Linked DNA regions of Arabidopsis thaliana. The protein of the gene in region 1 interacts with the protein of each later gene in a pairwise test. Each region holds a gene or a part of one and is shown in the gene's direction. Other genes may lie near its edges.

What was found. The genes of interacting proteins can lie anywhere in the genome.
Region 2: the proteins of FEI1 (region 1) and ACS5 interact in a two-hybrid assay, tested with the Arabidopsis thaliana proteins (one study listed by BioGRID).
Region 3: the proteins of FEI1 (region 1) and ACS9 interact in a two-hybrid assay, tested with the Arabidopsis thaliana proteins (one study listed by BioGRID).

What each region holds. Positions count from the first base shown.
Region 1 is NC_003070.9:11,245,800-11,255,793, forward strand, and holds FEI1 (Leucine-rich repeat protein kinase family protein), read left to right. Parts: upstream 1-3,818; 5' UTR 3,819-4,560; coding exon 4,561-4,660; intron 4,661-4,750; coding exon 4,751-4,886; intron 4,887-4,961; coding exon 4,962-5,033; intron 5,034-5,110; coding exon 5,111-5,182; intron 5,183-5,281; coding exon 5,282-5,353; intron 5,354-5,647; coding exon 5,648-5,719; intron 5,720-5,802; coding exon 5,803-5,874; intron 5,875-6,101; coding exon 6,102-6,190; intron 6,191-6,283; coding exon 6,284-6,442; intron 6,443-6,548; coding exon 6,549-6,881; intron 6,882-6,956; coding exon 6,957-7,205; intron 7,206-7,281; coding exon 7,282-7,415; intron 7,416-7,498; coding exon 7,499-7,717; 3' UTR 7,718-8,116; downstream 8,117-9,994. Other genes in the region: AT1G31400 (TRAF-like family protein), read right to left, coding at 1-126, 311-477, 576-682; AT1G31410 (putrescine-binding periplasmic protein-like protein), read right to left, coding at 1,295-1,738, 1,855-2,016, 2,152-2,334, 2,423-2,557, 2,721-2,969, 3,065-3,204, 3,285-3,546; AT1G31430 (Pentatricopeptide repeat (PPR-like) superfamily protein), read right to left, coding at 8,226-9,938.
Region 2 is NC_003076.8:26,328,038-26,335,966, reverse strand, and holds ACS5 (ACC synthase 5), read left to right. Parts: upstream 1-3,154; 5' UTR 3,155-3,268; coding exon 3,269-3,547; intron 3,548-3,651; coding exon 3,652-3,812; intron 3,813-3,898; coding exon 3,899-4,871; 3' UTR 4,872-5,221; downstream 5,222-7,929. UniProt on the Arabidopsis thaliana protein: 1-aminocyclopropane-1-carboxylate synthase (ACS) enzymes catalyze the conversion of S-adenosyl-L-methionine (SAM) into 1-aminocyclopropane-1-carboxylate (ACC), a direct precursor of ethylene.
Region 3 is NC_003074.8:18,431,741-18,439,030, reverse strand, and holds ACS9 (1-aminocyclopropane-1-carboxylate synthase 9), read left to right. Parts: upstream 1-2,889; coding exon 2,890-3,036; intron 3,037-3,129; coding exon 3,130-3,261; intron 3,262-3,345; coding exon 3,346-3,506; intron 3,507-3,588; coding exon 3,589-4,561; 3' UTR 4,562-4,582; downstream 4,583-7,290. Other genes in the region: AT3G49710 (Pentatricopeptide repeat (PPR) superfamily protein), read right to left, coding at 1-1,186. UniProt on the Arabidopsis thaliana protein: 1-aminocyclopropane-1-carboxylate synthase (ACS) enzymes catalyze the conversion of S-adenosyl-L-methionine (SAM) into 1-aminocyclopropane-1-carboxylate (ACC), a direct precursor of ethylene.

The sequences.
Region 1 (9,994 bases):
GAACACCAACCTCGGCAACAATCTTGACTTGGCCACTAACCAAAAACCCACCATAAAGTTCTGTAAGTGGAAGCATTACTTGGGAACCGAAGGTAAGAGACCTCGGGTAAAACCCGCCCCGTGCTACTGTAAAGTCACGAAACTTAGAAATTTAGTTAAAACAAGGATTGCACAACACATACATAGGATCTCACTACAACACAAGTCCTATGAGTCCATGACAAGTAGAACCATAAAATATTGACTTTCCTTTGTCCGCCTAAATTAGAAACATAATCTACCAAAGGTAGAAAAAAGTTGAAAAACTCACCTTCCTGTTTGGAGAGTTTCTCCGACATTTGATTAACAACAGTAAGACGATATATGATGTGTCTTTTCCAACCAGAAGGCAAATCATCAGGATCAGGAACACCAAGAAACAGAGACAAACATTTATTAATGCTATCACCATATCCCTTGGGATAGGCCAGAAGATGCCTACAAGCATAAACCAAAAACCAATAAGCAAAGGGTAATATCAAGTAAACCTAAAATGAAACGCAAACATTAGCAAACATAAGAGAACAAGTTTTTACCATTTGGTGTCCCCAACTACAAAAATATCAAAATAAATTGCATGAGATTGCAAAGAGGAGAAATTCTTAATCGTCCATGTTATCCTCTTTTCATATTGGTCTGCCATTGATCTTAATGAAGTCTCCTTGCAACCAAACCAAAACAGAAATACCAGAGGATGAAGAGAGACTAAATCCTAGAACCGAGTGTCACACTACCATACTTGATAGAGAAAATTATCACACAACAACTTTTATAAGTAAACAGAATCGAGAAAACGCAGAGTCACTCACTTTAAAAGCATATAATACGTGTTTGAATGTGACTCGCGTTGATTACGAAAACTTGAGGAATGTGAAAACGCTTCGGCTCTTCATAGCTCATTGTTGGGCTGATAGTCCCAAGAAAAAGAACATTTAACTTTCCCTTGTTCATTTTCAAAACAAAGCATTCATTAACACCGTTTTACATGATATTTACCTCTTAGATGGCCAATAAATTAAATAATGTTAGGTTATATTAGGCGTTTTGTGTAGTTTAATTTAATTTATACACTTGTTTTGGCATCTATAGTGTTTGAACTAACGACTAACTAGTAACATGAGCAAAGGCGATCAGCCTCTGGCTCTTCATGACATGATACTCTGTTATAAGGAGATAGAAAACCCCTTATGTTAACCAACATGAAGTTGCTCTATGTAATCATACAAATGATTCCATTTCCACTTTTGTCCGTCTCTCAAATGTTCTTATTCATCTCGGAGTCAAGCTTTGCCCTAAATCCTCGAACCTTAATTGAAACAATGTCCTTTAGTTTCTCCACAAGGCCAGGTCTTTGGCTTTGCTTCCTTACAGTTTCAATCAGAAGCCGATATTCCGATAGCGTAGCCTCTGGTAAAGGTTCCAAGAACTCACACTTAGACAAGATCTCCGGAGGAGGAACACCTGTGACCAGGTTTGTGTCCAGTTTTGTTCTGTCTTTCTTTGTTTTTTCGGGTTCTGTAACCAGAGGACCATCAAGAGCTGAAGGAGATGCACCAGGAATTACTTCCCGTGTGAATGGTAACGATCTTGCAGGTTGCAAGCAGAATTCTATCCACTGGTTGATTAATGGAGATGGGCCTCGGACTCGTCCTCCTCTTTGTTCTGCTTCTTTACCAGAGTCAGAAACAGCCGGGATCGCCTTGAAAAACAATTATGCTTCACGGTTTAGTGTCCAGATATGTTATATCGTCTTTAGAACAAGAAGCATTCAAGATATCAGATGAAGGGTTAAGTGATTTTACGACGGTAACTTACCCATAGATCAGCCCATAAGGTGGCACCGGATTTGGGAACAATCACTGTAACATTAGACATACGTTTTGCGACAGGGATAACATCGCTGCTCCAACCAACAGTGACCCAGACATCTCCGACATTGAAAGCTTTTAAATAGTTGTTACTATCAAATAGTCTAATCTATAAGCAAAAGGGGAAACAAGATCAGCCACCATTGTCATTTTTTCTCAATAACTATAGAGGTTGAGTGAAACACGTCAGCCTAAACTCATCTGTTCTCTTTAGGGTATGGAGAGATAGTAAAGAGGTAATAACCTGTTTCATGAGTGATGCCAGATTTTTCTCCACTGCTAATCTTCCGCCAGGAACTTGTGAATCCAGGTCTGTCGTATTGTATGATGCTCTCATGTATTTGAGAACAGCACCAACAACCTCTCTAGGAGAATTCACCATTGCGATCCTTCCTGCAAGCTCGGGTCGCCACAGATCAGCCCAGTCCTAAATTCAGCAAAATGTTCAGTGATATTCACTTCTTTTAAATAGGAAAACACTAAGACAGCATTTAGCAACAACAAAGTATACCAACCTCTATCGGTGCCAATTTATAATTCTGAAATTTGCTCTTTTTGTATGCTATAACCATGGTGCCCCAGCGGTATGGCACAGCCCACGTTTCACCGTCAGGAGCTTTTTCTCCCGCATAGTTCCTGCGGAGATAAATCTGAGACTTTCTAAGTCATGAAATGAACCCTATGAACATTCCCAAGCTAGCAGAGTACGAAAACAAAACACATGAAAGATTATGCCTATTAAAATCTCTCAAGCTAGTGTTCTTTCAAAAAGACTCATATTCATATTGTTAAACCACTGATTTAAATTCTCACCTTCCATTTATCACTCAAGCCTTTATACCAGTCTTGATCTTCTATCCCTTTCATTGGCTCAATTAGCTTTTCCTTAATAGCAAAACTAAGCCAAGAATCACCAATGCTGATCATATCAGCTGCTGCAGTTGAAGCAGCCCCCTTTTTTCCATTCTTACTTGGTTTCGATAGATCGAAAAAGATCTCTTCAAGATTTCCTCGAAACTGAGTCTTTAACCTCACTCTCTTCCCTTGTGAGCTCATAAACTCCTAAATTCCATTCACAGAATCCAACAACATACATTTTCAACTATAAGCTTAAGATTCAAAATAGAAATGGAAACACAGACAAGTGAAACTAAAACCTTGATCCATGATGGTGGCACTGAGCCACGCAAGGCAACGAGTTTTAGCGGGACAGTAAGAGAATACACTTTAGACTTGTACGCTTCGAAATCAGCTTCCAGTTTTTCTTCATCTTCAACTTCATTTAGATTCTCTTCACCTGCAAAAACATTCCATTGGAACACAAAATTCAAATCCATCGAAATCCCAAGAGTGACGAAAATGTTCAATTTCACGCACCAGCTACAGTTTCTGTGTTGATTTCATTCTCTGTAACGACAATCGGCGGTGGTAGTATTCGAGCGGAGGCCGGAGAACAGACGCGGAGGCTACTTAAACCGATGAACAACACGGTCGAGGCAGAGAGACCAACGATCCTCTCATGAAACCGTTCGTCTCGAGAAACTCGTGCAATGGTGATTCCCCTTCCTCCGTCGCGTCGGTTTCCTCCGCAGTAGAAGCTCGCCGGCGGTTTCACGGAAATAATCGCCGCCGTAGCCATCGATATAACGCGATGGTGAAACAACGGACAACAATGGCTTCTAATCTCAAACCGGTTCAATCAAACCGCTGGGCTTATACCGTAATGGGCCTTAAAAATGGGCCCAATGATTTCGACCATTGTAGAGATTAGGCTTAGCTAAGGTCTAGCTGGCAATAATAATTGGGTTTTATGAAGAAAGCGTCGGTTGACACGTGTGGGAGGTCAAGATCGGCACGTGCGAGACCCACTTCGTTTCTTCTCATTGGTCGTATGCTTTGGAGAAGAAAGCATCTTCTTCTTCTTCACACACTCTCTCTCTCTCACTCTAGTTTTCTCTCTCTTCACTCTTACCATAAATCACACAAACAAAATAAAAAGTCGATTCCTTTTTTGTTTTTTTTATCTTCTCCTTAAGTTATATTTTTTTTTTTTTGCTTTACAGCTCAAATTAGTCATCTTCTTCTTCCTCTGTCTCAATTCTTCCTCCTCTCGGATCCATTTTTAGAGGTTCTTATAATTCTTACTAATTCTGTTTGCTTTTAAAGCTATAACCTTTGATATTGTTGGAAAGAGTGGGGTTTTGGGTCTTTTGCTGAATCGTTTTTTGGATTTGTTATATTGTTCGAATCTTCAGTTGTTATTGTGTTATAGGATTGGATGGTATCTGGGAATTTCGTAATCTATGTTAAGCTAGAGCTGTTTTTGAGCTCTTTTGTTGATGATGATTTTGAGATTGTTGGCCGAATTTAGCTCTCGTTTTCTGATTTTAGCAATTGGAAAGTGTGTATTGGTTCTTGTGAGGCAATTTCACTGTTTTGAGTACTCAAAATGTAGATGAGAGCATGCATAAGTTGTGTGGAGACTGAGCTTAATGTGTAGTGTAATTGACAATTAGTTTTGTGGGCTTTCCTTTGTTTTTCAGGAGTCTAGTTTCTTACTTGAACATAGACATGGAATCAACTAATAACTGACAACCAAGAGGCTGTTCTTTTCAAATGATTGGTAGTAGTTATATTATGCTTGGACAGTGCCATGATGGGCATCTGTGAGATGAAAAGCTGCTGCTCATGGCTTCTTTTGATCTCGTTGCTTTGCTCACTATCTAATGAAAGTCAAGCGATTAGTCCTGACGGTACGTCGATATGAATCAACTATTACTATTCATAGCGTCCTGGACCTTTTATTGAGCTTTAATCCTTTATTGCTTGTTTCCATTCTTCAGGCGAGGCGCTTCTGAGCTTCAGAAATGCAGTTACTAGATCAGATAGTTTCATCCATCAGTGGAGACCGGAAGATCCAGATCCATGTAACTGGAACGGAGTGACATGTGATGCAAAAACGAAAAGAGTTATAACCTTGTAAGTTTTCAAACTTGTCAAGGTTTACTGGTTTTCTCTTCAGTATTTGTGCTCCCTAATACTCTTGTTTCGCAGGAATCTTACTTATCACAAAATAATGGGACCTTTACCTCCTGATATTGGAAAGTTGGACCATTTAAGGCTTTTGTATGTGCTCTCTAGCCTTATTCATTTTTATTGCTTAAGAGAGTACTTCGATTCTGATCATCTGTGTGTCATTGCAGAATGCTTCACAACAATGCTTTATATGGAGCAATACCTACAGCATTGGGAAATTGCACAGCATTGGAGGAAATGTAAGCGCTTTTCCAGGATTTTATACTGATTCCACATGGTTTCTGAGAGACCAATTCCAGTTGCTTATGGTCATCAAAATTGTCCAACTGGTTTTGCAGTCACTTGCAGAGTAACTACTTCACTGGACCAATCCCAGCTGAAATGGGAGACCTGCCTGGCCTTCAAAAGCTGTATGTTTTTTTCTCTTCCCTATACGTACTTGCAAGTGCATCCTTCTTTTAGTGTATGCAATATCTATTTGTTTTTTGTTTTCATTTACTTCTATCACCATCTAGGATCATGGTAACATATGGTTGACTGCATAATGTCTTCTCATGCACATTATATTCAGAACTAGTTATACCTAAACTCTTGGTGAGCAATTTGAAAAGCATGATAATGTATTGTTTACTTCAGATTCACATATTGATTGTTCTCTTTTCTCTACTAAAACTGACTTTTGACTTTTTTATTTTATTTTCAAGGGACATGTCAAGCAACACTCTCAGTGGACCTATCCCTGCTTCGCTTGGGCAGTTAAAAAAGCTTAGTAACTTGTGAGCACCTTAATCTCTAACTTCCGCTGTAATTTATCATATTGCAGTCCTGTGAATCTTTCTGTTTCGTTTGTCTTATGAAGCAATGTCTCGAACAACTTCCTGGTGGGGCAAATACCTTCAGACGGAGTGCTCTCTGGATTTTCTAAGAACTCGTAAGACAATAAACACCCTTTTCTTCTTGTAGGGATAGAAAAATAAAGCCTCTAAAGTTACATTTTTTTTTTTTTTTTGTCAATCCTCTAAAGTTACATTTATACAGCTGATCTTTCATATTTCGCTTATATTCGAGATGATTTTTTGAACCACATAACTATTTAGCTAGATTGTATCAGTGCGACTGAAATTATATGATTCTCAAACTGATGCGTTACTACTACAGCTTCATTGGAAATCTTAACTTGTGTGGAAAGCATGTTGATGTCGTGTGCCAAGATGATAGTGGAAACCCTTCATCACATTCTCAATCAGGTAAAAGCAATTATGAATTTCTTGTGATATACAGGTTTTGTTGTGGCTCTCTATCAGTAAAGTTATATTTATTTGGTGTCTTATACTTTATAGGTCAAAATCAAAAGAAAAACTCTGGTAAGCTGCTGATTAGCGCATCAGCAACTGTAGGTGCGCTACTCCTAGTTGCACTCATGTGTTTCTGGGGATGCTTTCTATATAAAAAGCTCGGTAAAGTCGAGATTAAAAGCCTTGCAAAGGATGTTGGTGGAGGTGAGCCGTATTGATTTTTTTTGTACAGATATTATCTCGTTAAATATTGGGAAATTTCATATTTTTCTCTATCTCCTAAATCTTCATTGTGACTTTTTCAATTCAGGTGCGTCTATTGTGATGTTCCACGGAGATTTACCTTACTCTTCCAAAGATATCATTAAGAAGCTGGAAATGTTGAATGAAGAGCACATAATTGGATGTGGAGGCTTTGGAACGGTGTATAAGCTGGCCATGGATGATGGCAAAGTCTTTGCATTGAAGAGAATTCTAAAGTTAAACGAAGGGTTTGATCGGTTTTTTGAGCGGGAGCTTGAGATTCTTGGGAGCATCAAACACCGATACCTCGTGAATCTACGTGGATATTGCAATTCACCAACATCAAAGCTACTGTTATATGATTACTTGCCCGGTGGTAGCCTTGATGAAGCACTTCATGGTATGATCAATCTGCTCTTTATGGCTCTCTTCCATATTATGAATGATTCACTGAGAAGTTTGGTTCTTGAATTAGTAGAGAGAGGCGAGCAATTGGACTGGGATTCACGCGTAAATATCATCATAGGAGCTGCGAAAGGGTTATCATATTTGCATCATGATTGTTCTCCTCGGATTATACATCGTGATATAAAGTCGAGCAACATTTTGCTTGATGGCAATCTCGAGGCACGGGTATCGGATTTTGGTCTAGCCAAGTTGTTGGAAGACGAAGAATCTCATATCACAACCATTGTTGCAGGCACATTTGGGTACCTAGCTCCAGGTACATATGCCTTTTAAAAGTCTTTACTTACATAAAGATTTGATCTTTCAAATGCTGAGACTTTTCCATTTGACAGAATATATGCAAAGTGGTAGAGCAACTGAGAAAACCGATGTATACAGTTTTGGGGTTTTGGTTCTTGAAGTCTTGAGTGGGAAAAGACCAACCGATGCTTCCTTCATCGAGAAAGGCCTTAACGTTGTTGGTTGGGTATGCAAATAAGATTCTTTTTCAATACTGATATTTTGTTACGACAAACTTGACTAAAAAAGCTTTTGACTCATGATTTACAGCTAAAGTTCTTAATCAGCGAAAAACGGCCAAGGGATATTGTTGATCCAAACTGTGAAGGAATGCAGATGGAGAGCCTTGACGCTCTACTATCAATAGCAACACAGTGTGTGTCTCCGAGTCCAGAAGAGCGTCCAACGATGCATCGGGTTGTCCAGTTACTTGAATCAGAGGTCATGACTCCTTGTCCCAGCGAATTTTATGATTCCAGCTCTGATTAATTGCATAAACCCACCAGTCGAAACCTCGAGAAAAAAAGTAAACCGAGTCCGGTTTCCCGGGGAAAGCCTTCAAATGCTATTCGATTTCCGTTTTTGCTCCCCGAGAAAACCTGCAAATACCAACGAAGAGCCATAATTTTCCAGTTAATGGAACAGAGTCTTTGTGTTGTGTTGCCATTTACTTTGCCCCTCCAGTTTTACCAGATTCGAGCCATTCATTTTCAGCCCTTTCTCTTTTTGTTCTGATTTTTGGTATAAAAACTTTTATTTGAACATGAAATTGAATTGTATAGTTGTGACCTTTGTAGAAAAACTACTCTCTGCCTTTATGTTCTTTTGAAATAATCCATGTTCCTTCATCTTCTTCTTCTTCAGTCTCAATCAATCCTGATTCAGTTACAGAGAAGCTGATATCGATTCAAAACCAACATCGATTCAAAACCGGTTCATTAGCAGGGAAACAAATGTTAATGATAAGGGAAGTAGTTAGAGAATGTACAAGAAAGTTTCAGCTATCAATTTCTTTATGTTCCAAATCCAACATCAAATTTGTCGTTTGATGCAGCATTGAGTTGATCTCATCCATTTTTGGGTGTGATAATAGATCATCTCCAACAATAAACTCATGACCAACCCCATCAATCTCGATGGAGCTGCAACCAGGAAACTTTCTGATTCCCAAATCTTTCATTTTCCTTCTCACATTAGTTACATCTTCCCATCTATTAGCAGATGCATATACACTTGCAAGCAGAGTATGAGCACTGGAATCACTTACTTCCACTTTCTCAAGCTTTTCCGCTACCCGTTCTGCTATTTTTACATTCCCATAGTTCCTAGCAGCACTAAGTAAAGAACAGTATACAGGAACTAGAGTTTCATCGCTTTCACCACGCATCTTATCTATCAATTCCTCTGCTTCATCTAACAAACCAGCTCTGCATAGTAGGTCAATCAGACAGCTGCAGTGCTCTGATTTAGGCTGGACGTTATGTCTTTCGGTCATCGAATGGAAAATCTTACGGCCTTCTGCTACAAATCCACCATGATTGCAAGCTGTTAAAACCGCGACAAATGTTATAGCGTCTAGTCTAACACCAACATTTTCCATTTCGTAATACAAGTCCAGCGCTCTTCCTGACATCCCGTTCATCGCAAGACCGTAGATAAGTGATGTCCACGAAGCTGTGTCTCTCTCCTTTATTTCATAGAAAACCTCTAGAGCTGTCTCAATGCATCCACATTTTGCATACATGTCTACAAGAGCAGTACCAACTACTTTATCTACTGTAACCCTGTTCTCATTTATGTACCCATGAATCCATTTTCCTTGCTCTAAAGCTCCCGTTTGCGCGCAACCTGTCAAGAGAGAGACTAGCACGAAATTATCCGGCCTAATTCCCGCAGTTTGCATGCACCTGAACAGTTCCAATGCCTCATCAAACCGGTTAAACTGAACATACCCATTCATCATAGCTGTCCACAAAACAACATCCTTTACAGGACTTCTCTCAAACAAAACTCTAGCCTCATCAATCCTACCAGTACTAACATACCCAAAAACCATACTAGTCCAACACTTAACATTCTTGTCTCTCATCGAATCGAAAACCGCTCTAGCCTTATCGAGACACCCACATTTACAGAACATATCCACCAACGCATTCCCAATCCTAACACTCATTTCAAATTCTGTAACAACAAACCTATAAATCCTTTCACCAATTTCAAGATTCTTCAAAGCCGAACAAGCCGAAAGAGTGCTCACAATTGTACCTTCATCAAACTTCAAATTGCTCTCCTGACTCATCCGCTTAAACACACCAATGGCATCCTCAAACCTCCCATTACCAACATAACTAGAAATCAACCCATTCCAAGAAACAACATCTCGTTGAGGCATTTCATCGAACACTTTATGTGTGATCTCTATCTTACCCAATGAAGCATACATTCCCATGAGTGAATTAGATACATAAGAATCGAACTCAAGCCCAGCTTTCACAGCATAACCATGAACCTTCTCACCTTCTATAACCTTCCTCAAACGACCAATTGACTTTAGAACAACCGGTAACGTGAAATTATCAGGATACAATCCTTGTCCTCGCAATTCACCGAACAAAGCCAAAACTTTCGTGAAACTTTTACCATCAGCAAGAGATTTGAGCATCTTATTGTACATAAGAAGTGATGGAGTTTGTAACAAACTCATGTTCATGTCTCTTTAGGGGATGATATGAGATAATGAGAATGTAAAGTTGTGAACTTTGTAGA
Region 2 (7,929 bases), on another chromosome or scaffold:
AAAATGGGACCTACGTTTTCATTTCTTGGAACATGAATAGTGGGAATTAAGAAAAACAAAAAAAATCGAAAAAGAGAAAGATCACGATGGTTGTCACAAAATGTTGTTGATGATGTAGGGAATTGGTAGGGTCTTATAACCTATACTTTTCACATGCATTCTTAAACCCTATTTCTACTGCATCTCCATGTGCCTCCCCTCACGTCTCTACCTTCTCTCTCTATCTGTTTTTTTTTTTCAATCAATAACAAAAGAAATATTACATCATTTTCCCTTTCATCATATCTTTAACCAGCTAAAACAAGTTTGAAGCGAATTTTGCATATATACAGTCCCAACTTCGTCAATTATATTGAAGTTCGTTATCTTTTTTTTTTTTTTTTTTTTTTTTTTTTTTTTTTTTTTGTATGTGTATGTGTGTGTGTGTGAAATATCGCGATTAATAGTTTAAGAAAATTCTTCATCAGAATAATAGATTATAATATTTTCAAAGATTTACTTGTTTTTTGATTATTTTGATTTTATTAAAATCATATTGTTGAGACAATGGTATTATGGTCATGAAGAACCTCAAGTGTTTTATGTATCAATTGGCAAATTTCAGCACAAGTGAATTTTTTTCTTGATTATTTTCTACTGTCTATACATATAAAATAGAGAATATAATATAACAACTTTGAGCTATAATTAGAATCTGTTGGAAAAAAATGAAAAAATATAACAAATATATTCTATCTTGATTTTTCAAAGTATAGAATCTAAAAAAAGCTATATGATATTAATTATCCAATTATATGATTGCATTTATGAGTTGATATGATATCTTTTGGTTGTTTCATAAAACAGAATCAAGAATAAGATGATCAATACCGAAATATATGGCTTCATCATCAAATATTATTTCACATGTGATTCTCCAATGTATCATTATTAAGAGTTGTTATACGAGGACCCATTTTTTTCGCAGCAATCAAATCAATTTGAGCTTTTTAATTAAAATCTTCAAAAATAATCTGAGAAAATCACAGCGTCTCATTAATTATTAAAAAAGTACTTCAAAAAAGTGGATATACGATTTTGAAATGATAACGATTTCCTGACGTCAGAAAAAATCCTATAACAAACATTAATGTTTTTTTTTGGTTAGTTAAGAGACAATAATATGTTACATCTACCAAAGAATATTCCAGTTAAGTTAGTTAATAGTTGGAGTCAAACTTAAACGAACAACGTCGCCTACAAATCTGGGGGTATAAGTTATAACCAACGGCCACCAACATGGGTTTTGATATCGTCCACCTGATTTTTATGTTAATATAACTCAATTTGATTGATTAAATATTATGCTCTTATACTAATCATTCTAGGTCCAAAACTGAATCACTCATTGCACATCATTTTTATGATTTTTATTTTGAAAATCTCATGTTTCAAGAAATATTTGTGCATTCTACTAGTAGCTTATTTTAAATAAAGTTTCGAGTTTATATAATAAACAATATGTTTATTTCTTTGATTTGTATACATTTTAAAAAAAAAAACAGGATGAAGATATATACAACTAAAGCTCAATTCAACTAGTAGGAAAATTGTATTCTACAAAAAATTTGTGTTTATGTTTTTATTATGATAACCATCCAAACTCATTATTTCACCCATGATCAAAGTAACTATATCAATATATCTGCAACAATATCTGACTCAACATTTATTTTTACATAAACTGCGGACCAACACAATTATGCTAAACTATCATCATTTATTCTATTGGTATTGGAGATCAGTCTACGTCAGTGAATACCGCATAATTCACATGAAACTAACTCCAAAACCCTTTAACCAAAAAAAAAAAAAAACTAATTACAACTCCGGTTAACCTGTCGATAATTACAAGACTGAAAACATCCTAGTCAGTAAAAAACATATTTGTATGTATCCGATCCCACCAAATAAATAAGTTGTTGTCAATGATAGAGGAAGAGAAAACGAAAAAAAATTGCGGACCAAGACATTTGGGACTACTAGAGTTTAGGGAGCATAAATGGTCCTATTTGACTTACCCTCTACCGTATAAATAAATGTATTTTAGCCGTATAAATGTATACATACGTAGATGCATAGGTATACAGGATTACTTTAGACGATTTGATGTCGGTATGACATTACATTTGACTCCCCTAGCTCCACTTGTCTCTGTTCATTTTTCTTGTATGTCATTTCCTTGTTTTCCAATTTTACGTTTACCACCCTATTTTATTTTGTTAATATTTTCTAAGTCAACGTGTTGACACTTAATTACAGAATCTGATAACTAAAGTTACATAAAATGCTCACAGTTTTTTTCAGCAAAATACTCACATTATACGACATATAAAATTTTAGCAGTCTATAAATAGTAATTATTTGGCATTAGTATTGGACAAGAAGTAGAATATAAATTAATGTTGGTTCTTTTTTCTATCCAACTTCACACAGCCAATTTTGTAGCTGACATCGTGAATGGACGACTAAACTAATCATAAGCATAGTGATTCAGTTTATACAACAACAACAAAAAGTTAATTACATTTGAGGTTTCTTTTTAAATTGCTATGTTTGGTCCCTAAATGATGGTCATAATAAGGACGGTCCGGCGGTGACGGAAACGCGTAAAGACTAATCATTTTAGTACTATTAATTTGTAGAATTATTATTAAATATGCTTGAATCCTAGAAAACGATCAAATAAATTTTGGAAAGAAGCTCAAAATGTGTTATTTAATTTTGTCCCTATGTAGAGCTGGTTTTTTTATTTTTATTTAAACATAATCCTAAGATTTATTGCTGTATGTGTGAATGCAATAATAAATAGAAACTCAATAATAGATCATTCTTATTTTCAAAAAGAAACAAGAACTACTGCAATGTTTTAATTGTTTATTTTGTATTAAATAATATAGCTTGTTAATTATTGGAGATCGCATTAAATAATAAAAGAAGTTGTCTCACATGTCTTGGAGAATATTTACTAAAAACTATGGTAATGTCTGGACGGTCAAAAAAGTCTCTCTAGTTTCTGATTCTGTTGTCACATTTTATTTTTGAAATTAAATGTCGTTAGATTATTATTATCTATATATATATATATCCCAACAGACCCATTGCTTCTCCAACCACATCTCACTCTTCACCAACTTAAACCCTAATTCAAGATCTCTTCTTTTCGTTCTCTCCTTCACCCACATTAGTCTTCTCTACGACCAAAATCTCTTGACTTTAAAAACAGAGAATGAAACAGCTTTCGACAAAAGTGACAAGCAATGGTCATGGACAAGACTCATCCTACTTCTTGGGATGGGAAGAGTACGAGAAGAATCCTTATGATGAGATCAAGAACCCTAATGGGATGATCCAGATGGGTCTAGCCGAAAACCAGCTATGTTTCGATCTAATCGAGTCATGGTTAACTAAGAACCCAGACGCGGCAAGTCTCAAGAGGAACGGTCAATCCATTTTCAGAGAGCTTGCTCTATTTCAAGACTATCATGGCATGCCTGAATTCAAAAAAGTAAGCTTCTTTCATTTTTCTCAAATTCAATAAAGAGAGTAACCTGACGTGTATCACAAGTAATGAATCCATTTCTCATGAACATTTTCTGTCATTTTTTACAGGCTATGGCTGAGTTTATGGAAGAGATAAGAGGAAACCGTGTCACGTTCGATCCAAAAAAGATTGTTTTAGCGGCTGGTTCGACATCTGCGAATGAGACTCTCATGTTTTGCCTTGCAGAGCCTGGCGATGCTTTCCTTTTGCCTACTCCTTACTATCCTGGGTAAATTACACTTCTCCTCTTTACTTGGATTCCAAGTAAACCCAATAGAAATATATGCTTACGTCTAGGCTTTTTTATGATTACAGATTTGATAGAGATCTTAAATGGAGAACCGGAGCAGAGATAGTACCCATTCACTGCTCAAGCTCTAATGGCTTCCAAATCACGGAATCAGCTCTGCAACAAGCTTACCAACAAGCCCAGAAACTTGATCTCAAAGTCAAAGGAGTTCTTGTCACGAATCCATCTAACCCACTTGGCACTGCGTTGACCAGACGTGAACTTAACCTTCTCGTTGACTTCATCACTTCCAAGAACATTCATCTCATTAGCGACGAGATCTATTCAGGCACTATGTTCGGGTTTGAACAGTTCATAAGCGTAATGGATGTCTTGAAAGACAAGAAACTCGAAGACACGGAGGTTTCAAAACGAGTCCACGTCGTTTATAGCCTTTCTAAAGATCTGGGACTTCCTGGTTTCCGTGTGGGAGCGATCTACTCCAACGACGAAATGATCGTTTCAGCAGCTACAAAAATGTCAAGTTTTGGTCTTGTTTCTTCTCAGACACAATACCTTCTCTCTGCATTGCTCTCCGACAAGAAGTTCACTAGCCAATACCTCGAAGAGAACCAGAAACGACTCAAGTCCAGACAGAGACGCCTCGTGTCTGGTCTTGAGTCTGCAGGGATTACTTGCCTGAGAAGCAACGCGGGTTTGTTCTGTTGGGTCGACATGAGACACCTTTTGGACACAAACACATTTGAAGCAGAGCTTGACCTCTGGAAAAAGATTGTTTACAACGTGAAACTAAACATATCACCCGGTTCTTCATGTCACTGCACCGAACCGGGTTGGTTTAGGGTTTGTTTCGCTAATATGAGCGAGGACACACTCGATTTGGCCTTGAAGAGGCTCAAAACTTTCGTAGAATCCACAGACTGTGGACGAATGATATCAAGAAGCAGCCATGAAAGGCTCAAGAGTTTGAGGAAGAAGACAGTCTCTAACTGGGTTTTCCGGGTTTCATGGACCGATCGTGTACCTGATGAACGATGAAATTATTCATCTCCCTAAGTTTGAGACGACGAACAAAAGAAAACTTCACGGTTTTTTCTTCTTCTTTATTTCCTTCATTTTTTATATTTTGGGAAAGTATTTTTAATTTTCCAAGATATCTATAATCATATCATTATATATGTAATATTTTTTTTAATGTTTGGGTGAGTCTTTAATTTATGCAATTTTTCGGGTGTAAAATTGTTACTATGTGTTATTATATGTTTTTAATGCACTCAATCCGAATGTGGATTTGCAGTGGCTATATATATAAATAAATATATATCCCGTTGTAATTTTAGTGAAACGTTTGTGTGTATTGTACCCATATATAAAAATGTAATTCACTCTTTTTAGTTTATATATATTTTGTTTTATAAATATGGGTTTCTTTAATTTTATGCTCTATCATTTGGTATAGTTTTTGAGTTTGTTGTGAGAATTCTCCTCTGACTATAAGGCTATAAAGATCGTGTTAACGTTGTTGGTTAAGGACGTTAGTTGAGGCATATCAAAAGGAGGCTTAATTTAATGTCAATTAACTAATTAATTAATCATTATATGGTAATATGGCGGGAATTGTCGAATTGGTCAACTGAGAAAGCAAAAGGGGAAAGTCAAAGGTTTTCCACTTAGGTGAATCAAGAGAGAAGGTATGATCTACTTGTCGAAAATATTCGATGAAGCCTAAATAATTTAGTTAAAAATCGACTAAAACCCATTAACAATTTCGGGGTAAAGGTAGCTTCTAGCGTTCTACGGCAGTAAAGTTTTGAGCTTTGAATAGGTACGTTGCATTGCGTAAGAATGTTCACGTCACATATTTGAACTAAAATTACAAGTTTACAACGAAATCCACATTTTTTTTTTGTATAATCAAAACTTACTCTATCAGGATTAACGTAATTATAAGAAAAAAATGAGCAACTTATGAGAAACCGAAATCTGTATATCGAGAGCCATGGTTGATTGATATATATGTTAAGGAGGATATGTCCCAATGATTACAATGATTATAGATTTATACATTACAATTCCAATCATCGAAATCAATAATTTTCAAAAATTTGAGGATGAAAAGGCTCCAATCATTTAAAGAGAAAAGTCTTTATAACCATTTTTTTTTTCTTGTGAAATTATTTCCCGAGGGATAAAGTAGAGGATAAAGTGTCATATCATCATAGGCTAATCATTATAGTATAAGATATAAGATACCGGTCAAATGTTATTATGCTAAGCCTATCACATAAAAAAAAAACTAAAAAAGTGCCATGAGCTTTGTTGGTACTACGAAGAGTAGACTACGAAATATATAATACAACTTTAGTAACCGATTTTGTTTTAATTTTAGCATGATACGCGGCTATACCGGCCGTAACGGCAAATGATCCTTACATGTGAACAGCATTAATGTGGTGGTTGAGTCCCCAAAAATCTGTCTCAATTAATTAACAATTCGATTATAAAAACTTAACAGAGATATGTAGTAGCAGTACGTACTTTGAAAAATAAGAGATTGAGAATTTGGTTGGATTTGAGAATCCGTGAATGAGTAATACTGATTAAGTAATATTCTACTTAAAAGTCTTTATTGCATATGACCGACCATAACTATACAAACTGACATTATGAAGTCGTTGTACCAGAAAATTTTCGTCATTGTCATGGTCGTAGTCTACTTGCTACTATAATAAGCGACATTGGAATGATATTTGATATTATCATTCCATAAATTGTTACGTCAACTGGTGCCACATACTAATCATATAGTTGGTAATGTAAGAATACGTTTTCTTGTAAAAATGTTTAAAATATTGTTTTACCCAGTTCTAAAAGTAGATATAGATTATGGAAGTTTATCTTTATCAACGTATTGTAAAGTAGATATAGATTATGGAAGTTATGTACATATGCATGTCAAGTTTGAACCAAAATTTCAGTCACGTGGGCTTCACGAGTGAGGCCATATAACTGCACATGCCATGACACAGAAACATATAACATCTCTTATGCATACACCTATAGTAATCATATTTATATATGCATAACAAACAAATGAATTGTAACGATTTGTTTTTTACTCCATATTTGACTTCGACCGATTGGACATATAATTTGGAATTCAAATTACATCAATTATATGCCAGGACCCCTTTGATGTTCTTCATGTATGCATGAGGGGTCATCTACGCATGGCATTGCTACTTACGTTACACATACATACTTGATCCATACATAACATAACATTATGGGGAAATTTTCAGAATTAAATTTTTTCATATATTATAGTATTCTCTAATATACCATGTGGGTCACGTTAGTTTTTCTCGTACTTGATGCATAGCTTATGAATCGAGAAGTCACTAGCTATTTATATATATATACGAATATATCTTTATAACTATAATTAGAACGATAGAACTTAAATTAATGATGTGCTTCGTACATACATCCACTTAATATGTGCACGATTAAGAAGATTCATCGCACATATGTTACGTAAGAGACAATTATCAAATCACGCAAAGATTTGTTTCTTTGGCTTAGATGCACCGTCTTCAATTATAATATAAAGTCGATTTATTAATTCTCATGGAGTTTATCAATGTTCATCCTCTTCTTCCCATCTTTTCGAACATTGTTTACCCAAATTAATCTCTCTTTTTAATTATTATTATTATTTGACTTTTAAATATAGTTCCTTTTTCAAAGATAATAATTTTAGTCGGCTCGTCCTGCCTTTCAGCCTAAGTAATTAGTGTCATATAATGCTTAGTTATCTAATTCAAAGCCAAGAACCAAGATTGGTAAATTAATAATTTTCCTTTCTAAATCGTAACAAATGGGCTTTTACGGGGCCTTACTAGACGTGCCATTGCCATATGTTTCCCTCAAAAATGGGCTTTATTGGGCCTTACAAGTCTTTTTGAAGCAAAGAAAGAGTTGGAATCTAATTACCTTTGACCCAAAAAAAAACAAAAACTAAATAATCAAAACCGATATTGCGAAAATAATCAGTGATATATAAATATATATATATATATATATATATATAAAT
Region 3 (7,290 bases), on another chromosome or scaffold:
TTCCGCTTTTGTAATACAACGAAATCAACGCGTTGTTCACAGAGATTCTATTCGAAGGGATGTGAGATTTGATCGCCAAGCCATGAATCTGCTTGCACTGAGAAGGAGAGGAGAGATTCGAGCAAGCGCTTGTGACACAGACAAAACTGCAATCATCAGGTCTATGTCCAATACGTTGCATCTGTCTAAAACTCTTCACAGCTTCTTCAGAGAGTTCCTCGTTCATTGAATATCCAGAAATCATCGTATTCCAAACAACCAAATCCGGCGATAGAATCTCTTGAAATACCTTCTCACTATCATACATACCATCACAACCCCCGCATTTTGAGTAAAAATCAATCAAACCACTTCCCACATGTGAGTTCTGGTGAAATCCAGCCTTGATCAGCTTACCGTGGAACTGACGGCCACCGATCAAATGATCCAAGCTAGTGAGAGCATTTAAAACACTTGCCAATGTAAACATATCAATCTTGAATCCTTTAAAGATCATTTCTTTATACAAAGCTAATGCCTTTGCTCCTTCCTTGTGCTGCCCATAAGCCACAATCATCGAATTCCACGAAACTTCATCTCTTAATTCATCCATCCCATAAAACACCGATACCGCCTCTCTCAAAAGCCCGCCTTTACTATAATACGTAACAAACGCGTTATTCACAGACGAGTACGAATCAAACCCTCCCGAGACAGAGAAACAGTGAAGCTGCTTTATCAAATCAACACGGTCACAACAAGCTGCTATCAACCCTGATAACGTAAACCCATCAACCTCAAATCCCAATTTTCTCATTCTCTTAAACAGAACCATTGCGGCAAAAGTTTCTCTAGCATCAGCGTACCCCGAGATAAGAGTATTGTAAGAGACAGTGTCTGGTTGGGGAATTTCGTCGAACAACTGGCGTGCAATATGGATTTTCGAATCTTTCGCGTAAGCTTTGACAATTACATTGTAAGAGAAGACATTGGGTTCTTCCGTGGAGTAGAACGCGGCTCGTGCGTAGGAAAGGCGACCACATTTGGAGTAGAGATTCACGAAGTGATTTGAGAGATAAGTGGACGAAGCTACAATGGATTTCACGTAGAGCGCGTGAAGTGATTTCCCAGTGAAGAGATCTCTCTCCGCTACAGATTTCAGTAGAAGGTCTCGAAAAGTTTTGAACTTCCATGGCGTCTGATTCATCTAATAGTGACAAGTGAACCTCAGAGATTGTATGTTTCTCGCATTTGCAAGTTCTGTTTTCAGAAGAAGACTGGTAAACAAAGTCATAAGTTTTCGTTTCGTCTCTTATTTTTCGTTAATTGACTTGGGCTTAGAATCTGTTCAAGGCCCATTTATTATGGGCTCGTTTATTTTTTAATTTTTTTGGGCAAGCACGTGATGATATATACAGTGGGATGTTATTTGTGTGCGAATTAAATAGAGTTTTTGTGATTTAAATGTTATATAGAATCTGTTGTTATTCAGTTAAAATTTTTTAAAAGTTTATTAAAATCTAGTGTATTAGTTTAAAATTTGTAAAATGCGATCTAAAATTTTCATGCAGTTATTTGATTCATACTTTTAGAAAGTCAATAAAATTTTTGTGTTATTCAATTAAAATAAAAGAATTTATGATTATTAATGAATTAAATTATTATGTTATTAGTTTATAACTTTTGATATTTTCCTTTACAAAATAAAGTCATCAAAAATATCATTAAAATAGAAAGATTATTTGGAAAACTTTATAAGATTGTGGAAAACTAATCAACAAGATTATAGAAAACTCTCTAGATCTAACAATAATTTAGAATCTTTCTATTCTTTATTTTGTATGCTTTTATTAAAATCGTCAAAAAAAAATTGTAAATTAGAAACAATAACATCTTTAAATCAAAAGATTCATAACCAGAAATTGTGAATAATACACTTTTTTTTTTAATTTGGACCTTGTGTCTGATTAACCCTAGTGGCATGATCATGAAATTATCGAGTTCGGATCTAAATGTCCAAATCCGAAATGGATCTTAAAATTTTTTCTAAGCTTAGTCTTACTGGCTTCGGAGATATTCAAATTCCCAAAACTCCCAATCAAAATTTACTATTTATTTTCAATTTGGCGGCCACTTTTTCTTCAGATTTAATATCTCTAATGTCCACTAGTTTTGTATTATAAGCATAACCGCAGTAATAATCATAAACATCTCAGATAACTCCCGAAACACAATTGGTGAAATCCCCAACACAATATCATGACATTCGATCTAAAAATAGATTTTGTATTGTTTTGGTCGCTAATTCATTGTCATGTATGTATGGGCGGTGACCGAAAACGCGTTTTATGGACAAAACTAATTTTGTTTTGTTTAACTATGTGTCAAGCTTTCTCTTTTCTCTATTCTACTTCACCTATCCAATTATCATTATTATCGTTTTCTTTATATCTCTCATGTGTTTGTGTAATAATATATATAGTGAGGGTTAAACAATATTATTCTACTTCCTCTAAAATTTTATAACGTTTTAGTCTACTTCTGTTTTTAATTAACCCAATTTCACACATACTTCAAAATTTGAAATAATTGTTGAGTCTTTTTCAATTTAACTTTATATAGAGATAGGAAGAGAGATTTTCTTTAGATTTGTAGTATAAGATTAGCAAAATATATACTAACTGACGATAAATGATTACTAATAAATTACTAGCTACGTGACGTCAAGTAAAAAACGGAAGTATATATATATATAGCTCCCACAAGCAACCACATTCCACATCTCACTCTTCAGTCTTCACCAACTAACTAAAACCTAATTCAACATATCTCTCTCATTTACCGTTCTCCCATTCTTCATTAGTCATCTTTCAATAAACCAAACATTCTTTTTGATTTTTATATCAAAAAATGAAACAACTGTCGAGAAAAGTGACAAGCAATGCTCATGGACAAGACTCTTCCTACTTCTTGGGATGGGAAGAATACGAGAAGAACCCTTACGACGAAATCAAGAACCCTAATGGGATTATTCAAATGGGTCTTGCCGAAAATCAGGTAACTATAACTACGAGTTTTCGACCAATCGACCAATCTTTAATTATTGTATATTTTTGGGTGTTTAATACGATGTTTTTAATATGCATGCAGCTATGTTTTGATCTCATAGAGACATGGTTAGCTAAGAATCCGGACGCAGCCGGACTAAAAAAGGACGGCCAATCCATTTTCAAAGAGCTTGCTCTCTTTCAAGACTATCATGGCCTACCCGAATTCAAGAAAGTAAGTAATTAATTTTTTTTCACCTTCATAAGTAACTCGATCAAGAAGCGAGTAACTAACTTAATAGGGTTTATTTATCTATAGGCTTTGGCAGAGTTTATGGAGGAAATCAGAGGAAATAGAGTAACATTTGATCCAAGCAAGATTGTCCTAGCTGCTGGTTCAACATCTGCCAACGAAACTCTCATGTTTTGTCTCGCCGAACCCGGGGACGCTTTCCTTTTACCAACTCCTTACTATCCAGGGTAATTTTTTAGGTTTTTTTATTTAATTACTTGCCTCACAAGAAACCTGAGCTGATAGTATTTGATTCGCTTATGCATACAGATTCGATAGAGACTTGAAATGGAGAACGGGAGCAGAGATCGTACCTATTCATTGCTCAAGCTCTAATGGGTTCCAAATAACAGAGTCAGCTCTTCAACAAGCTTATCAACAAGCTCAAAAGCTTGATCTTAAGGTCAAAGGAGTTCTTGTTACCAACCCGTCTAACCCTCTTGGCACAATGTTGACCAGAAGAGAACTTAACCTTCTCGTTGACTTCATTACTTCCAAAAACATTCATCTCATAAGCGACGAGATCTATTCAGGTACCGTTTTTGGGTTTGAACAGTTTGTAAGTGTCATGGATGTCTTAAAAGACAAGAACCTCGAGAACAGCGAAGTCTCCAAACGAGTTCATATTGTTTATAGTCTTTCCAAAGATCTCGGTTTACCAGGTTTTCGCGTAGGAGCAATTTACTCCAACGACGAAATGGTTGTTTCCGCTGCAACAAAAATGTCAAGTTTCGGTCTCGTGTCTTCTCAAACACAGTACCTTCTCTCTGCATTGCTTTCAGACAAGAAGTTCACAAGTACATACCTCGACGAAAACCAGAAAAGACTCAAGATTCGTCAGAAGAAACTCGTGTCCGGTCTAGAAGCTGCAGGGATTACTTGTCTTAAAAGCAACGCTGGTTTGTTCTGTTGGGTTGACATGAGACATCTTTTGGACACAAACACATTCGAAGCAGAACTTGAGCTATGGAAGAAGATTGTATATGACGTCAAGCTGAATATTTCACCTGGTTCATCGTGCCATTGTACTGAACCGGGTTGGTTTAGGGTTTGTTTCGCCAACATGAGTGAAGATACGCTTGATTTGGCGATGAAGAGGCTCAAAGAGTACGTAGAGTCAACAGATAGTAGAAGAGTGATTTCAAAAAGCAGTCATGATAGGATCAAGAGTTTGAGGAAGAGAACTGTCTCCAACTGGGTTTTCCGGGTTTCATGGACCGACCGTGTACCTGATGAACGATGAAAGTATATTCATCGCCCCAAGTTAAGACAAAGCAAATCTTCCTACCAATTTTTTTCATTTACAATAATATATATATATATATATATATATATATATATATATATATATAATCGTTTTTTATTGTTTTGGAAAATGGTTGTTACATTTTCTTAAATAATGATATTACTAAATATTCTTTCTTTCTTTCTTTTTTTGGGTTTTAATATCAACTATATTATTTTTTTATCTTTTATTTATAAATGTTTCCCTGAGAATTTGTAGCCAATTTTTTTTGTTTTTTTGGATATAAGTGTTACTAGCATTAAGTGCACTCAATCCAAATTTGAATTTGTAATGGCTATCTATATATCTATCTCCTGTAATGTCAAGGAAAGTTTATATCCATGAAAATATATAACATATGTACATTTCTACATTTCGCAGTATACAAATATTAGCCATATATATATTTACACACACATAAAAACAAACGATAACATGAAAACTACTTTCGATTTGCTTAGATATTGAATCAGAAGGTTTAGTCCATAACGTAACGAACAACATAAATTAAAGTTTAGTTTACGACAACTATCCATTATACGATGGAAAAAATTACATGTTATATTACATCCAGAGAAATATGATATATGCTACGATATTTGATCAGAAAAACAAATAGAAAAAATATATGCTACATAAATTAGAAACCTACAAGCATTTCATGTCAATCAATACTTTTTTATTTCAGGTTGAAGAAATGACTATTAGGCCTAATAGTGGTCATCATTTGGATTTTAGAATGAAAAACTAATTTCTCATTAATAGCTAGTTAGCTACATATTCTTTTTGTCAACTTCTCATTAATAGTAATTCATGAATCTAAAACATATTGTGAATCGTAATTATTATTCCAGTTATAGACGATCAATATCATTTTATCATATATGATATATCGGTCAAAGATTATGATGCTTTATGTAGACATGATATATAGTGAATCTCTTCAAAATATATTATTCCATAATTTTCATGTGCTTTTGTAACCTTTGTTGGTACTTCTACGAACGAATTATTCGAATTATACTACGCAGATTTAACAAAATTTCCAAATATGACGATATTGTTCCCCTTTTTGTATGAAACGCGGAGAAATCGGCCGTGACGACATATAATCTTTACATGTGAGGAGCATTATAGTGGTCGTTGGGTTGTATAACATATAAGGAATTTTCCAATTAAAGAAATAATAAAAACACGTAAAATTGATTTTGAGAATTTTGGTTGATGTTCATATGATTTGAGTTCAATGCTGTTTATTAGTTGCATACGACCCAACCAGAATTTGTCCACTGTATTATCGACCGTATATTACTAAATTTTGAGATTTGTGAGGTTGTCTCGATATGATTTAGATCACACATATCTATAACAAAAAGCAAAGTGGTCGGTTGTTTCTATAACGATAGATCGAAATGTAGATTCACATATTTTTATTAGGGAATTATGTCTCGTCATTGTTTGACATATTTGTCCAAGATAATATAAATTCTCGTCAATATGGTTGATGTGAACTTAATTTTGAATAAACTAATATAAAAAACTCATGATTAACATGTAAAATATGTACAAAGAGGAATACAGTCACGTGGGTTCATGAGCTTAGGCCATAACTTGCACATGCCATGCCATGACATGAACGAACAATAGAAAATAATTATACATATAGTCAGTCCTGTCCTGCATATAGTCTATGCATTCATATTAATGCAAGTAACTTCCAAAATAAACACGACTCGAAAAATTGCTACAAATTCAAGCGAAAAATCCAATACTCGTCGGGCCATAAAAAGTGATTGGGCCACAAAAGCCTTGTATTTTCATAATCACTTTTAAAAACGGACACATATATTGCGACTAAAACTGGTGGGGGATAAAGAGAAAAAGAATATGGAGGCCTAACAAAAAAGAAAACGAAGAAAACAAACTAAAGCAGATCTTAGAGATCTATTATCTATGTTAATGTAAAGAAAAACATGGCAAATCAAGAATACATAATATACACAGAGTGTATCAATTGCGAAGTTTATATGGAACCAACCAAGTATGAAGTATGTAGACTGTAGTACGATACATGCATGCAAGATTTGGTCTATAATGTCATGACATAGAAGTTTTTTCTTGATAGTTTGATTCAAACTCTAAGAATGTAGAAACGTCTAGCTGATGAGTGGATGTGGATTCTATTGTTTCTCATACAGTCGTATGCCATATTTTTGGTTAGCTATAAAAATCTAGTTTTTTTCTTAACATATAATATATATATATATATATATATATATATATATATATATATATATATATATGAACCACTTAACGGTCAATTTTTATTTCGACAAAATATGATTATCATGTGAACCAGATTTAATAAAATTCAGTTCTGTTTGCCATAAGCAGATGACAAGAAATCGTCAAACACTAGAACAATTGGATTATTCCATTTCCACACTCCTTTTAACTAAAATAAAATTTCGTTCCCACAAATAAAAAAGTGTCAATATCTTCTGTTACAAACAGATTTCTTTTAGTTCTTTTTGACGTCGAGATTTCCTTCTTTTAAGACAATGACATTTTTTTAAAGAAAAACTTTGGAATTTTTTTTAACGTTCTTCTAGTGCGTGTCGACATCGGCTGGATTATTGAATCAAAATTAATTATGTTGTAGAAGTCCTTTTAATTATTTTTATTTG